Linked DNA regions of Rattus norvegicus. The protein of the gene in region 1 purifies or fractionates together with the protein of each later gene. This does not show direct contact. Links are inferred from orthologs where the notes say so. Each region holds a gene or a part of one and is shown on either strand. Other genes may lie near its edges.

What was found. Proteins that work in one complex are often made in the same cells at the same time.
Region 2: the proteins of Araf (region 1) and Bag2 purify together in Homo sapiens (affinity purification with mass spectrometry; 3 studies listed by BioGRID and IntAct, with this or other methods). This does not show direct contact. The link is inferred for Rattus norvegicus from reciprocal best matches to the Homo sapiens genes ARAF and BAG2.
Region 3: the proteins of Araf (region 1) and Fkbp5 purify together in Homo sapiens (affinity purification with mass spectrometry; 4 studies listed by BioGRID and IntAct, with this or other methods). This does not show direct contact. The link is inferred for Rattus norvegicus from reciprocal best matches to the Homo sapiens genes ARAF and FKBP5.

The regions. Positions count from the first base shown.
Region 1 is NC_086039.1:3,782,504-3,786,148, forward strand, and holds part of Araf (serine/threonine-protein kinase A-Raf), read right to left. Parts: intron 1,362-3,645; coding exon 1,185-1,361; intron 1,096-1,184; coding exon 1,049-1,095; intron 565-1,048; coding exon 446-564; intron 217-445; coding exon 85-216; intron 1-84. UniProt on the Homo sapiens protein: Involved in the transduction of mitogenic signals from the cell membrane to the nucleus. May also regulate the TOR signaling cascade. Phosphorylates PFKFB2.
Region 2 is NC_086027.1:43,473,763-43,477,906, reverse strand, and holds the start of Bag2 (BAG family molecular chaperone regulator 2), read left to right. Parts: upstream 1-1,269; 5' UTR 1,270-1,289; coding exon 1,290-1,402; intron 1,403-4,144. UniProt on the Homo sapiens protein: Co-chaperone for HSP70 and HSC70 chaperone proteins. Acts as a nucleotide-exchange factor (NEF) promoting the release of ADP from the HSP70 and HSC70 proteins thereby triggering client/substrate protein release.
Region 3 is NC_086038.1:6,540,681-6,544,956, forward strand, and holds the start of Fkbp5 (peptidyl-prolyl cis-trans isomerase FKBP5), read right to left. Parts: upstream 2,876-4,276; 5' UTR 2,789-2,875; intron 2,738-2,788; exon of another isoform or gene 2,240-2,737; coding exon of another isoform or gene 2,213-2,239; intron 1-2,212. UniProt on the Homo sapiens protein: Immunophilin protein with PPIase and co-chaperone activities. Component of unligated steroid receptors heterocomplexes through interaction with heat-shock protein 90 (HSP90).

The sequences.
Region 1 (3,645 bases):
ACTCTTCATCCAGAAAAATCCTGTACAAATGAGGGGACCTGGAGTGTGAAACCCTGGGAACTGAAGGTAAGTTATGAGGCTCACCTGGTCACGGCTGCCAATGTGGCTGTAGGGCAGTGAGCCGGTCATAAGCTCATAGAGCACAACACCATAGGCATAGACATCCGACTGGAAGCTGTAGGGGTTCGGGTCCTGCATTCGGATCACCTCAGCTGCCTTCGGTAGGCCAGACAGGGCAGGGAGACCATGAGGGTCAAAAAATGACTAGCCCACAGTACTAGATCCTGAGAGTTACACTGAGGACAACTCAGTGCCACCCACTAGAGGTGAAATGTTGGCAGTCCAGATACCCCCACCTGGCACAGGCATCCCTACTTTGCCTGGCATGCCCCAATCCAAAAGTCCACATCTCCCATTGGTCCCCATCTAGCCTGGCCCAACTTACCATCCACAGCACAGACCCTGAGGGCTGCTCTAAGGGCTGGGCCCCACTCCATCGTGTCTTCACTGTGGCCAGGCCGAAGTCACCAATCTTGACTGTGAGCCCCTCATGTAGGAAGATATCCAGCAGGGTCAAGGGCCATTACAAGGAATCCCAATAGCTATGCCTCATACATACCCTGACTGGATGATTCTCAGAACCCCTGTGCTAGTGGGTCATGTCTCTTGCCAGAAGTCACCCCCATTTCATTCTAACTATCCAACTGATGGGACCCCACTTGGTTCCATTGTGACCCAAGACCAACAAGTCCCATGGATGACACCTAAATCTGTCATGCCTTGGACACTGACCATGAGCTCCCTGTAATGTCATCTAGAACTACTAGATCTCACCTAACCAGGGCACCCAACAGTATGTGAACCATCTGACCCCTAAACAAAGGTCCTTCATTTAAAGGGTCCTTCACCAGGTATAGCTCTGTTACCTGACAAGAAACCACAGGCCCTTCCCTTTTCACCTCCCCAAACTTACCCCCCAAAATCATCCCTTTAAACTATCACTCTGATTAATACCCACCCCCAATGCCAGTCAGGGACAGGTAGATACTGTTGGACTTTAGGTCTCGGTGAATGATGTTCTTGGCGTGGAGGTAGCTGTGGAGATGGAAGTGGGTAGTGAATTATCTGGAGACTATTTCAGCTCTCCCTCCCACCTCCCCAACTCTCTAAGATATAAGGCTCACTCCATGCCCTGGGCAGTCTGCCGGGCCACATCAATGAGCTGGACCATGTCAAAGCGCGTGTCAGCCACATGTAGGTGGTGGTAGAGGCTGGAACCCTCACACCACTGTGTGATGATGGCAAACCCTGGCCGAGTCATGAAACCCATAAACAGCAAAATGTTGACATGTCGTGTCTTCCTGTAGGCAGGGAGGATAGGTTTGAGGAAGGGGTCAGGAAATAGAACAAGTGTCATGTGTTTACTCAGCAACAGGAAAAACAATGTCAGCTACCTTCCCTATCATTCATTTTACCTTGTCTTTAAGGGTGCTCAGGGCCAGAATGTTGTCAGATCCCAATCTGTGAGACTTGATGGGCTGCTGGAAGCTGAGTAGCGGTGGCTGTCCTGACCTTCCTCAACAAAATTCTATTTTATTTTATTATTTTCTTCTGTTTTTGAAACAGGGTCTCATGCTGTATACCAAGCTGGCCCGGAGCTCATTAAGTAGCCTGGGCAGGCCTCAAACTCTCAGTGATCCTTCTAACCCAACCTCCCAAGCACTGGGATCATGGGCATGGGCCACCACACTTGGCAGTGGCTATTTTACAGATGACAAAGTACAAAGCCAACCTTCTTCATCAATACTGATAAAGACAAGGTCAAGCCATGGAGACATGTGTGACATGGGAGTGTGATAGTTTACTAATCACTTGAAGAGACTTAGAGGTAAAGAGTCTGGACACAGGAACCAGGGCCAAACCTTTACCAGTTACAACCTTGGAGAGAACTTCTAACCGCTTTGGTCCTCTTGTTCCCAAACCATACAACTATCATCATTACAGCAGCTGCTTTATGAGGATGTTACAAAGGGTGAAGCTGAACAAACAGTAAACACTCTGAAACTTCCAGTTTGTTTCTGGTTACCTGGGTCTACCTCATGGAAACTGTCATGTACAGAAACCTCTTTAATATAGTTTATGAGAAAACCACATTCTTTCATATGAGTATTAACCACAGTTTGAATACACAAAAGCAAACAGGGATGATACTTAGATCACAGAAGACAACAAAACACCAGGACATTCCCATCTCATTTTGATACTTGAGATAGAACATAGGCTAAGCATATGCTCTACCACTGAGATTATACACAAGGATTAGTTTTGGTTTTTGAAACAGAGTTCATGTATCACAAACTGGCTTCAAATTCCTGATCCTCATGCCTCAGACTGCCAAGTTCTAAGAGTACAGACATGTACTACCACACTGCTACACAGATGCAAAAAAAAATTTTTGAGACTAGGTTTCATCATATAACCCAGATCATTTGAACAATCTGTGTATTTGTGAGTGTGAAAATATACATGTATGTGTTAGTACAAGTATATGCAGATTTAAGTGAAGTCCAGAGGTCAACCTAGGATATTGTTTCCAGGAGCTACTGGCTTTGTTTATATATTTACTTATCTTAGCAACTGTTCTGAGGCAGAGATTTTTCACTCAGACCTAGGGCATGCCAATTAGTCTAGACTGGCTGGCTGACAAGCCCCTGGAATCTTCCTATCTGTGTTTCTCCAGTGCTGAGCTTGTAAGCCTGTGCTGCCATACCCAGCCTTTTACATGGGTGCTAGAGAGCAAACTCAGGTCTTCATGTTTGCATGGTTAAGTATTTTATTACATTATCATAGCGGCTCTGGTTTCAAACTTTTGGTCCTTCTGCCTCAGCCTCCCAAGTACTGAGATTATAGGCATGTACCATCATTCTCAGCATAGGGATTCCTCTGTGTGTGTGTGTGTGTGTGTGTGTGTGTGTGTGTGTGAGAGAGAGAGAGAGAGAGAGAGAGAGAGAGAGAGAGAGAGGTGGGGGAAGGGGAGGAAGACAGACAGTGGGGGGGAGGGGAGGAAGAGAGGAAGACAGACAGACTTAATGTACAGGTGTGCATGTGCATCTGTGCACACAAATGGAGACCAGAGGTCAATGTCAGGTGTATCCTTTAATCACACTCTGCATTGTTTTGTATGTGGCACACATACATGATTGTGTGTTCACCTGTGCATCTGCATGGATAGAGAGAGACCAGAGGTTGATATTGGGTATCTATCTCCCTTGACTGCATTCCACCTCATTTTGAGACCAAATCTCTAACTAAACCTAGACCTCAACAATTACCTAGACTGGCTAAGCCCCAGTGATCCACTCTTGTCTCTGCCTTCCCAGTGCTAGGATTACAGGTATGCACCACTGCACCCAGCTTTTTACTTTTTATGTAGGTGCTGGGAATCCAAACTCAAGTACTTACATGGCAAGCACTTTACTGATGGAGCTATCTTCCCATCAAATATGAAGATTCCTTTGCATATATTTATCTGTGTATATAGAGCATGTTTGCCATAGTGTACATGTGGAGAACAGAGGACAACTTTCAGGAGTCAGTTCTCTCCTGCTACCATATAGGTCCCGAGGACTGAATGGATCCAGGTTG
Region 2 (4,144 bases), on another chromosome or scaffold:
GTGATAAAACATCATGACCAAGGCAACCTGTAAAATAAAGCATTTAATTGAACTTAGATACAGAGGGTCTGAGTCTATAATGGCCACAGAGATGCCCTGAGCACTCACATCTCAAACCCAAGTCGAGGCAGAGAGACACTAGGAATAGCTTGAATCTTTTCAAACCTGCCCATAGGGATACACTTCCTCCAGCGAGGCCTCACCTAAGTCCTCCCTGGTGATGAGGACAGAGAGTACAGGGAGGGGGAATTCAAACAACCACATCTGCCTGGCTTAGTTGCCAACCTAGCACAGAGGCAGACACTCTACCGCAGAGCTGTGTCTGCAGCCCCTTTTATTTTTCTTTTGACACAGGCGCTTGCTGAAGCTTCCCAGCCTAGCCTTGAATTCACTCTGGCCTAATTCACACAACTCTGTCTCAGCCTCCAGCGGAGCATTAGACCTGAGACTTGCCCAAGCTCAGACTTCCAAGACGTCCACAAAATGTTCAGATTTCTCGGTCGTGTCGTGAGATGACCGTGTTTAATGAAGCCAAGATAATCCACCGCTCATTAGTATTAAGATGAGTTCAGGATAAGGATGGGGTGGGGGGTGGAGGGGTGGGACTAGAAGCCAGTCGTACTTAAGGGGCTTGTCTCTGTTCAGTGATCTAATGGCTTTGAGTTCTGAGTGAAGGAAGTAAATGAACTTTGTTTCCCTGTGCATTTCTGTATCCTGTGCATTGAGAGAGCAAAACACGACTTTAAGTGGACGCGGCTTTGTACTTCAGCCCTGCTGACCTCTACAGCTTCTGACACATGAGCCTACCGAATATCATTCGCAGAGGATTTAAACAAGTTATGTGTGAAAGTAATAATCCTTTCATTGGAAAGGCAAGACAACACAGATGCACTTGGCTTCTCCTTATTTGGAGCCTGTGGTCCAGGCTTTCCCTGGACTCTCCGGAGCCCGCCTGGTCACCCGACAGGTCGGGCAAGTAGAGACTGCCCTTTAGGGCGTCCTGAATTGTCTCCGGCTCTCCCCACGTCACGGGCAGCACCCACTACGTCCTTGCTGTGAATCGTGGGTGCTGGGAGGAACGGCGTGGGCCCTCGGCGCCCCGGGGCAGGGTCCCCCACCCAGGCGTGCGGGCGGCTGCGCCCGCGCCTGCCCTTGTTTGGCCGCGCGGCCTCGGGGGTGGGGAGCCTGGGAGGTGGGGGCGGTGCCGTCCGCGTCAGCGGCGCCTGCGGTGACGGCGACGTGCGGCCCGCGCCACTGCTACCCGCGGACGCCGAGGACCCCCGGAGCTCATGGCCCAGGCGAAGATCAGCGCCAAGGCCCACGAGGGCCGCTTCTGCCGCTCGTCCTCCATGGCCGACCGCTCCAGCCGCCTGCTGGAGAGCCTGGACCAGCTGGAGCTCAGGTGAGGGCGGCGGGGGCGCGCGCGGGCGGGGGCGCGCTCCGGGTGGGCTCCCCTCCCCCGGCCGGCAGCGCGGCGAGCCAGTGCGGCTTGCAGAACTTCCAGATCCTTCGGCGCGGTCCCCCTCTGCCTTTAACTTTCCCGCTTCCAGGGGGCAGGCAGCAGGTTGGTGTGGTCCTTCCCCCCTCCCCTGTAATAAGTTTCTTTGCCCCAGATCACTTCATAGTAACACAAGAGTAAGTTTTAAAAAAGAAAAAACCCAGGACTGCCCCTCCGGGGGACCAGCGAGAATCAGACTCAAAAGGGGCCGCGCGAGATACCGAAGTTGGATACCATCCTTCCTTCTCTTAACCACGTGCAGTGCCCTCTGCAGTCTGTCCGTGTATGTTGTGCGTTTAGAAGACACAGCTGACACTTGGGAAGTGCCAGTCGCAGGTCTGAAAACACCAAAGGCAGGCGTCACACTCTCCCTGAGATTCTATCACGGGGACGGCCTTGTAGTAAAATTTCTAAATCGTGAATACTACTAGCAGATGCTGTGAATACTTGGCTTTAGCAACATGAGCCCCGGTGTATCTGGTGGGAACGTTAAGGTCTCCAAAGTTGTGCAAGTTTTGATTGTGTGCAGGCGCTGTTCCATGAAAATCGTATGGAGACACCCTGACACATGTTGTTCCCTAGTTTTCTCCAGGTTCTGCATAAGCAGAAATATGAGCCAAAATCTTAAGAGTCTTGTGCGTCTTCATCTCTCTCCGTGCATCCACCAAACACAGTATGTTTGCACAGAAAAATACAAGCAGTGTTTGTTACAATTGAGGTGTTCGCTATTTTTACTATTAGGAGAAAAGAACCAGAAGGTGAGAAACTTTTAGTCTCTGGAGTAGCAACCACAAGAGAAGCCTGAACCCTATGTCCCCCAAACCGGAGGGAGACAAAGGGACCTATGCTGAGAAGGGAGGGGGTCAGCATTAAAGCCCCTCTGAAAAGAGAGGAGTGTTTCCCTCTGTGAGGTAGGCTCCGAACTTTGACAGTACATTCTCAACTGCTCCGATTTTTTTTTTCCTTGAAGGGTTCAGGAAGTTGTCACTCTTCCTCAAGCTGAGTCATTGTTCAGAAACTTGAGTTAATCCCTGCCGGCCATGTGCTGAGTCCCTCCTCTCCTCCTGGGGGCCTCTTGAAAGTCTGGGGGTTGCTTAGTGTTACATTCTAATGTCTGACTACGTCAAAGGAATCTCAATTCCCGGCCCATAGGAGATTAAATTATGTTACTTATTAACAGTTGCGCTGAAGGGGGTTTCTTACTGTGTGTTTAGTGGTTCAAGGCCTTTACCAGTAAGCGCAGATTTCTGTAAGTCTTGTTTCTCTTTAAAAATGTGATGCGCACTTAGAAGTAAGTTTGTCAGAAGGTGAAAGAAATGGGGGGAGGGATGATGCTGCCTTTTAAGGTTTGGGGGCCCTTTTTAGAAGCCACCTGGACAGTGTCACAGAGCAGGACACTTTAAAATTAGGCTTTTCAAACATGGGTAGAGAAAGATGACGCTCCTGTGACGTCCCTCCAACTTTCTTAGTGCCCATGTGTGGGAAAAGCAGTGGATGGGGTAGTGTAAGTCATTGGTTGGTAGCCAGTGTGCATCTTCCATTCAGTTGAACTGGTTCTGTGGACTGAAACCACATCAAAGGCTTTATGTCCTGCAGGATGAACTGACCTCGGGGGGTGTCCGAAATGCTTTAAAATGTTTTATAAATCGGTAACAGATGCCGTTTGTTTCTAATGGCTTATGATATTAACGACACCATCTTACATTAAAACAATATTTTATTACTACGCCTCCTCTCCTGCAGTGCTTTCTCTAAAAAGATAATCCCGTCCTTTCCTGATTTACATGACCAGCTCTATGGGGATTCTGCGCTTGTCGAGGCCGAACGCCTTACTCTTTAGTGGTTATCCTAGTTTATAAATCATCCATGTTAGCATCAGTCTGTAGGCTAGGCCTCGTGTCTCTGGGGGAGTTACCGTTATCTGTATTGCGCAGATGAGAAGTTGAAGCTCAGATATACACAACATGCTTCAGTCCAGAGCAGAGCACTTCACATGTGAACACGGGAAGACCGGCTGCTCAGGTCAACACCATGTGTCCTGGTCTTGAATATCACTTTTCAAACTGTCCGTCTGACCTATGAATGAATATGATTTTACTAAAAGAGAAGAAAATCAATTTAGCGTTTGAGTCAGTAAACATTGAAGACCTGGAGCATGTCTGTTATTGAGTAGCTTCTAGGAGCTGTGGGTCAGGGGCTGGGCTTTGGACATTGGCCAAGGAGGTATAATGGTTGGTAGGACTGGGAGATCGGCTGCTTACACATCTCCCAAAACCGATCATGTGGTGAGCAGCTCCTTCCCAGTTCACTCAGCCAGCAGGGGCCAGGGAAACGGGCCACCCCCTGCTTTGGTTTCTGACTGTTTAAGGTTCCTGTTAGCATGTGCCAGTGTTCCAGGACCCACAAAGCAAGTTGACACCATATTTAATTTGTCGTTAACAGTCTGTAATTTAGAAGGAACGCTTTTCGTGCACACTGTCATTTGAATCTTATAAAACCCCCGAGGGAGGAGGGCGTTATTATCTTTTAGCAGTGAGAACGATGGGCTGTGATGGGACTTGGTGGGAAGGATGTTTGTCTAGCATGTTCATAACCCTAGGTTTGATCTCTGGCTTCAGAAAACCAGCATAGTGGTGCACGCCTGTA
Region 3 (4,276 bases), on another chromosome or scaffold:
CCTGTATCAGCTTTCAGACTCTCAGAGCTTCAGCTGACTGAAGCTCGGCGGCACACATCCCCCTGACTCGCCTTCAGGAACTAACGACACAATACACATTCTTTTCCAGCCCAAGAATAAAGAAAATCTTCAAAAGTAACTGGGGCTGGAGAGATGGCTCAGCGGTAAGAGCACCCGACTGCTCTTCCAGAGGTCATGAGTTCAATTCCCAGCAACCACATGGTGGCTCACAACCATCTGTAAAGAGATCTGATACCCTCTTCTGGTGTATCTGAAGACAGCTACAGTGTATTTATATATAATAAATAAATAAATCTTTAAAAACAAAAAAAAAAAGTAACTGACTTGCCCAATCCCGAACCCTAGGCTTTTCATGTTGAGGTGGTTTAAACTGTCTTTAAAAAGAAATGCTGGCTGGTGATACTGCTCAGCGGAGGAAAGAGCCTACAAACCAAACCACCGGAACTGGAAGTCCAGGACCCACACACGGCAAGAGGAAAACTCCAAAGCTGTTCTCTGACAACCACACCTGTGCCAAGTTCTCTCACAAACACTGACCGAAAGATAAAATCTAAAAAGTGACTAGAGAAACATCCTTTTGTTAAATGTTGGAATGACAAAAGCCCCACTAATGAATCTATTGTGTTAAAACAATTTGCAGAAAATATTCCTGGATTAACTTAAAATTACCTCAAGTGGCTGGGCAGTGGTGGTGAACACCTTTAGTCCCAGCTCTGGGAGGTAGAGGCAGGGGGAATCTCTGAGATGAAGGACAGCCTGGTCTCCCGAGTGAGTTCCAGGACAGCCAGTGCTACACAGAGAAAGCCTGTCTCAAAAAACGAAGCAAAATTAAAAAATAATAATAATAATCTCAAGTGGTCCCAACTAATAGCTAACTCAAATTAGCTAGATGAATAAAATGATTGTTCAATTAATTAGTGTAATTAAATAAAAATTAACTGTGCTCTGAAGTTCAACATCTCTGAAGTATAGATTATATCCAAGGCAGTTACCACACATGACACATCAGAAGACAAAGGGGAGAACACTAATTGGAGTGTTTCTAACAAACAATATTACTATTAACCTTTGTACTTAAAAACAGCTAAAGCACCCCATTTCTGTAGAACCCCCCAAAGTGAAAGCTGTTAAAAAAGAGTGTTAGGTTACAGAACTTTATGTATGTTTTAATGGAATAGTAAACTCCCAGTAACAAAGGAATAAAACTTTGATATTTCAAATACCAAACAAAACAAAAAATACCGCGCACGCGTACACACACAAACACACACACACACACACACACACACACACACACACACACACAAAGCATGTTGGGCAAATGAGGAACAGGTTGGAGAGTAACAGAAAACAGTTAAGTGAAAGTATTACAGGGTAAGAATGTCCCACCAGAATAAGATTTTTCTCCCCCAAGTCATTTCTTGAATTGATTCAGACACCACGAGGAAAAGCTACAATTTTGTAACAACAACACATAAAGCTAACAGCAAGAAGTGGGAAGGAAGAGGCAAAACACTTAACCCAAGCACACCTTAACCCTTCCCTTGTTCACAACCCTGTGAAAATAGAGACAATGGAAACAGACACTCTCTCCCACCCCTAGAGAAAGCAAAGAAAGCGCCCATTCGACGCCCAGCCCTAGTTCTCTGGAATACACACTCCTGAAAGGGAAAAAAAAAAAAATCCCCAAACCACCAGCTCCCAACTGCCGCATGCAGAATTTACTGAATGGCGGCCAAGCGCTGTACACACTGTCCCGAGCCCCGCCGAGGGCTGTCCCAAGTTCTGCACGCTCTGCTTACGATCTGTACCTTCTTCCAACGCGTTCGCCACGGTTGCAGACACCAATGATTTAAAAAACGAGGCGCAAGCGCCCCACCTGGCTCATCCACAGGCGAAGATGAGGAGGAGGAAGATGATCACAATGCATTGGGCTCCCTTAGATTCATCCCTCCAACACACACAAAATGCTGCGTTTGGAGTCATGCACTATGGCCGGAACAGGAGTGGTGATAATCGCTGGGCCGAAGGGAATGAAGACTCCTAAAATAACTTTTATTTCCTTAGTATTATTGAGAGGGGGTGGGGTGGTGAGAGATGAGCGTGTGCATCAGAGTCAGAGGTGTGTGTTTGTGTTGTGTACACGTGGAGGTCAGAGGACAACTCGCGGGAGTCGGTTCGCCTTACCCACCATGTCAGTTCCGGGGATCGAACCCATGTCGTGTCACGCTTGGCTGCAAGCGCCGGTACCCGCTCAGCCACCTCAGAGGCCCGAACAGCAACTTTTAATTGGCCCTTCCTCCTCCGGACCTCCGAGGCCCTCGGGTCACCTGCCTGCCTGGTGCGAGCCGGCTCGGGAGCGGCAGGTGAGGGCGGTGCCCGGCCGGCACGCCCATCGCGCGGCCCCGCGGACGCGGCGAGGCGCTCCGTTATCCGCGAGGCTCGCAGGGCTCCGGAAGGCCAAGTTTCCTCCGCGTCCGGAGGGCGGCGTGGCGGAGCGACACGGGGCTCCCCGGACCTGTGGGCTGCGCGGGAAACAAAAGCCGCGCGCGGGCGAGAGAGCCGGCGCCGCGCTGAGGGGGACGCTGGTGAGGGGCGCCGGCCGCTCCGCCACCCACGCGGGGCCCAGGCCTCCCGCACGCCCCGTCCACGCCACCCCAGGGAAGCCGCGCTAGGGGCGGCAGAAGCGGGACCGCGAGCACGGGGCCGGCTCCCGGGTCCGCCGCGCGCGCGCGCGCACCATCCCCGCGGCCAATGGCGCCCGTACCTGTCGCCGCCGCCGCCGCCGCCACTGCGTCCCTCGCTTCGCGTCTCTCCGCCGCGCGCGCCGCTCAGCCCGCCCAGCAGGCCGCCGCTCCGTCCGCACGCTCGCTCGCTCGCTCAGCCGCGCGCCGGACACCGCCGCCGGAGACTGGCAGCGCCCGCAAGCCGGCTAGTGCGCCGGGCAGCGCCCGCCGTCGTCCCGCCCCCGCCGGCCGCAGGACCCGCCTCCCATAGGGCCGCGGGGCTGTCAATCCGCCCCCAAAAGGCGCGCGGGCTACCGCTCCGCCGGTCCTGATTGGTGGCCGCGCACTGTCTATGCAAATGAGCCTCCGCCCCGTTCGTTTGCATCCCCGCCTCTTCACCGCGGCCCACGTGTCTGGCCCTTGCCCTTTGTGGGGGCCGGAGAGGAGGGATGGAGGAAGCTGACTGATACCTCTTCTCGTTTGCCTCCAGACAGAATACGGACCAGACAAGCGCCTACCTCGTCCGTCTGTCTACCCAGCCCGTCCTTCACGAGGCCGCAGAGGTCAGGCCATGCTGACCCCGGGAAAATAACCTCATGAACTTAAAGATGCTCCTTTAGAGACTGGGAAGAATCCGATCTAGCACCTCTCTCTGGACACCCAGTGGGCGTGAAGACCACGCTTTCCCTTGGGATCTCTGCCTCTGCAACACAGCAGGTAATGAGGTCAGAAAAGAACCCAAAGGATGGGCTGTTGAGCCAAGTTCAGCTTCAAGATGGCACCCCTTCCCCCACCAACTCGCCACCTCTGGGTGACTCCTCAGACGCTCAGATGCTGCACCTTGGGACTTCAGCTCTAACTGTTGGTTTCTTAAAAGATTTTTAGAAGAACGTTTGTGATGAGTGTTTTGCCTAAGGAGGGTGTGTCTGTGTGTGTGTGTGTGTGTGTGTGTGTGTGTGTGTGTGTGTGTGTGTGTGTATCCTGTGAGTGCAGTGCCCAGAAGAGGGCGTCGGATCCCCTGTCACTGGAGTTGTAAGCATCCTGTGCTCTCCCAGAGGCTGGGAAAGCAACCAGCAAGTGCCAGTGCTCATAACAGCTAGGGATCTCTCCAGACACACACACACACACACACACACTCTCTCTCTCTCTCTCTCTCTCTCTCTCTCTCTCTCTCTCTCTCTGGGAGTAAAAGTCCCAATTGCCTATGAAATGTCTTGTAGCCATGTGAGAATCCATGTTTCCTGGTTCCACGTCTGCTTTTTGTTTTAGTTTTGGTTTAATTTGTATTGTCACACTTTAGAACTCAGGAAGATAAATGCCCCCGTGTATGGTGATATATATCAAATGTCTAAATGTCACCATGTGGGTGATCATATGGTCCTTCTTTCCCTATCCTCCAAGACGACTGTGGAAAAGACAAAACTGGTGTAAAGACCCCTGTCTAAGACAGGGGTCCTCCTCAGTCGCTCGCCTTTCCTCAATGATTGGAAACCTCCTTTAACCAACCTCCTGGGGAGTGGCCACATGAA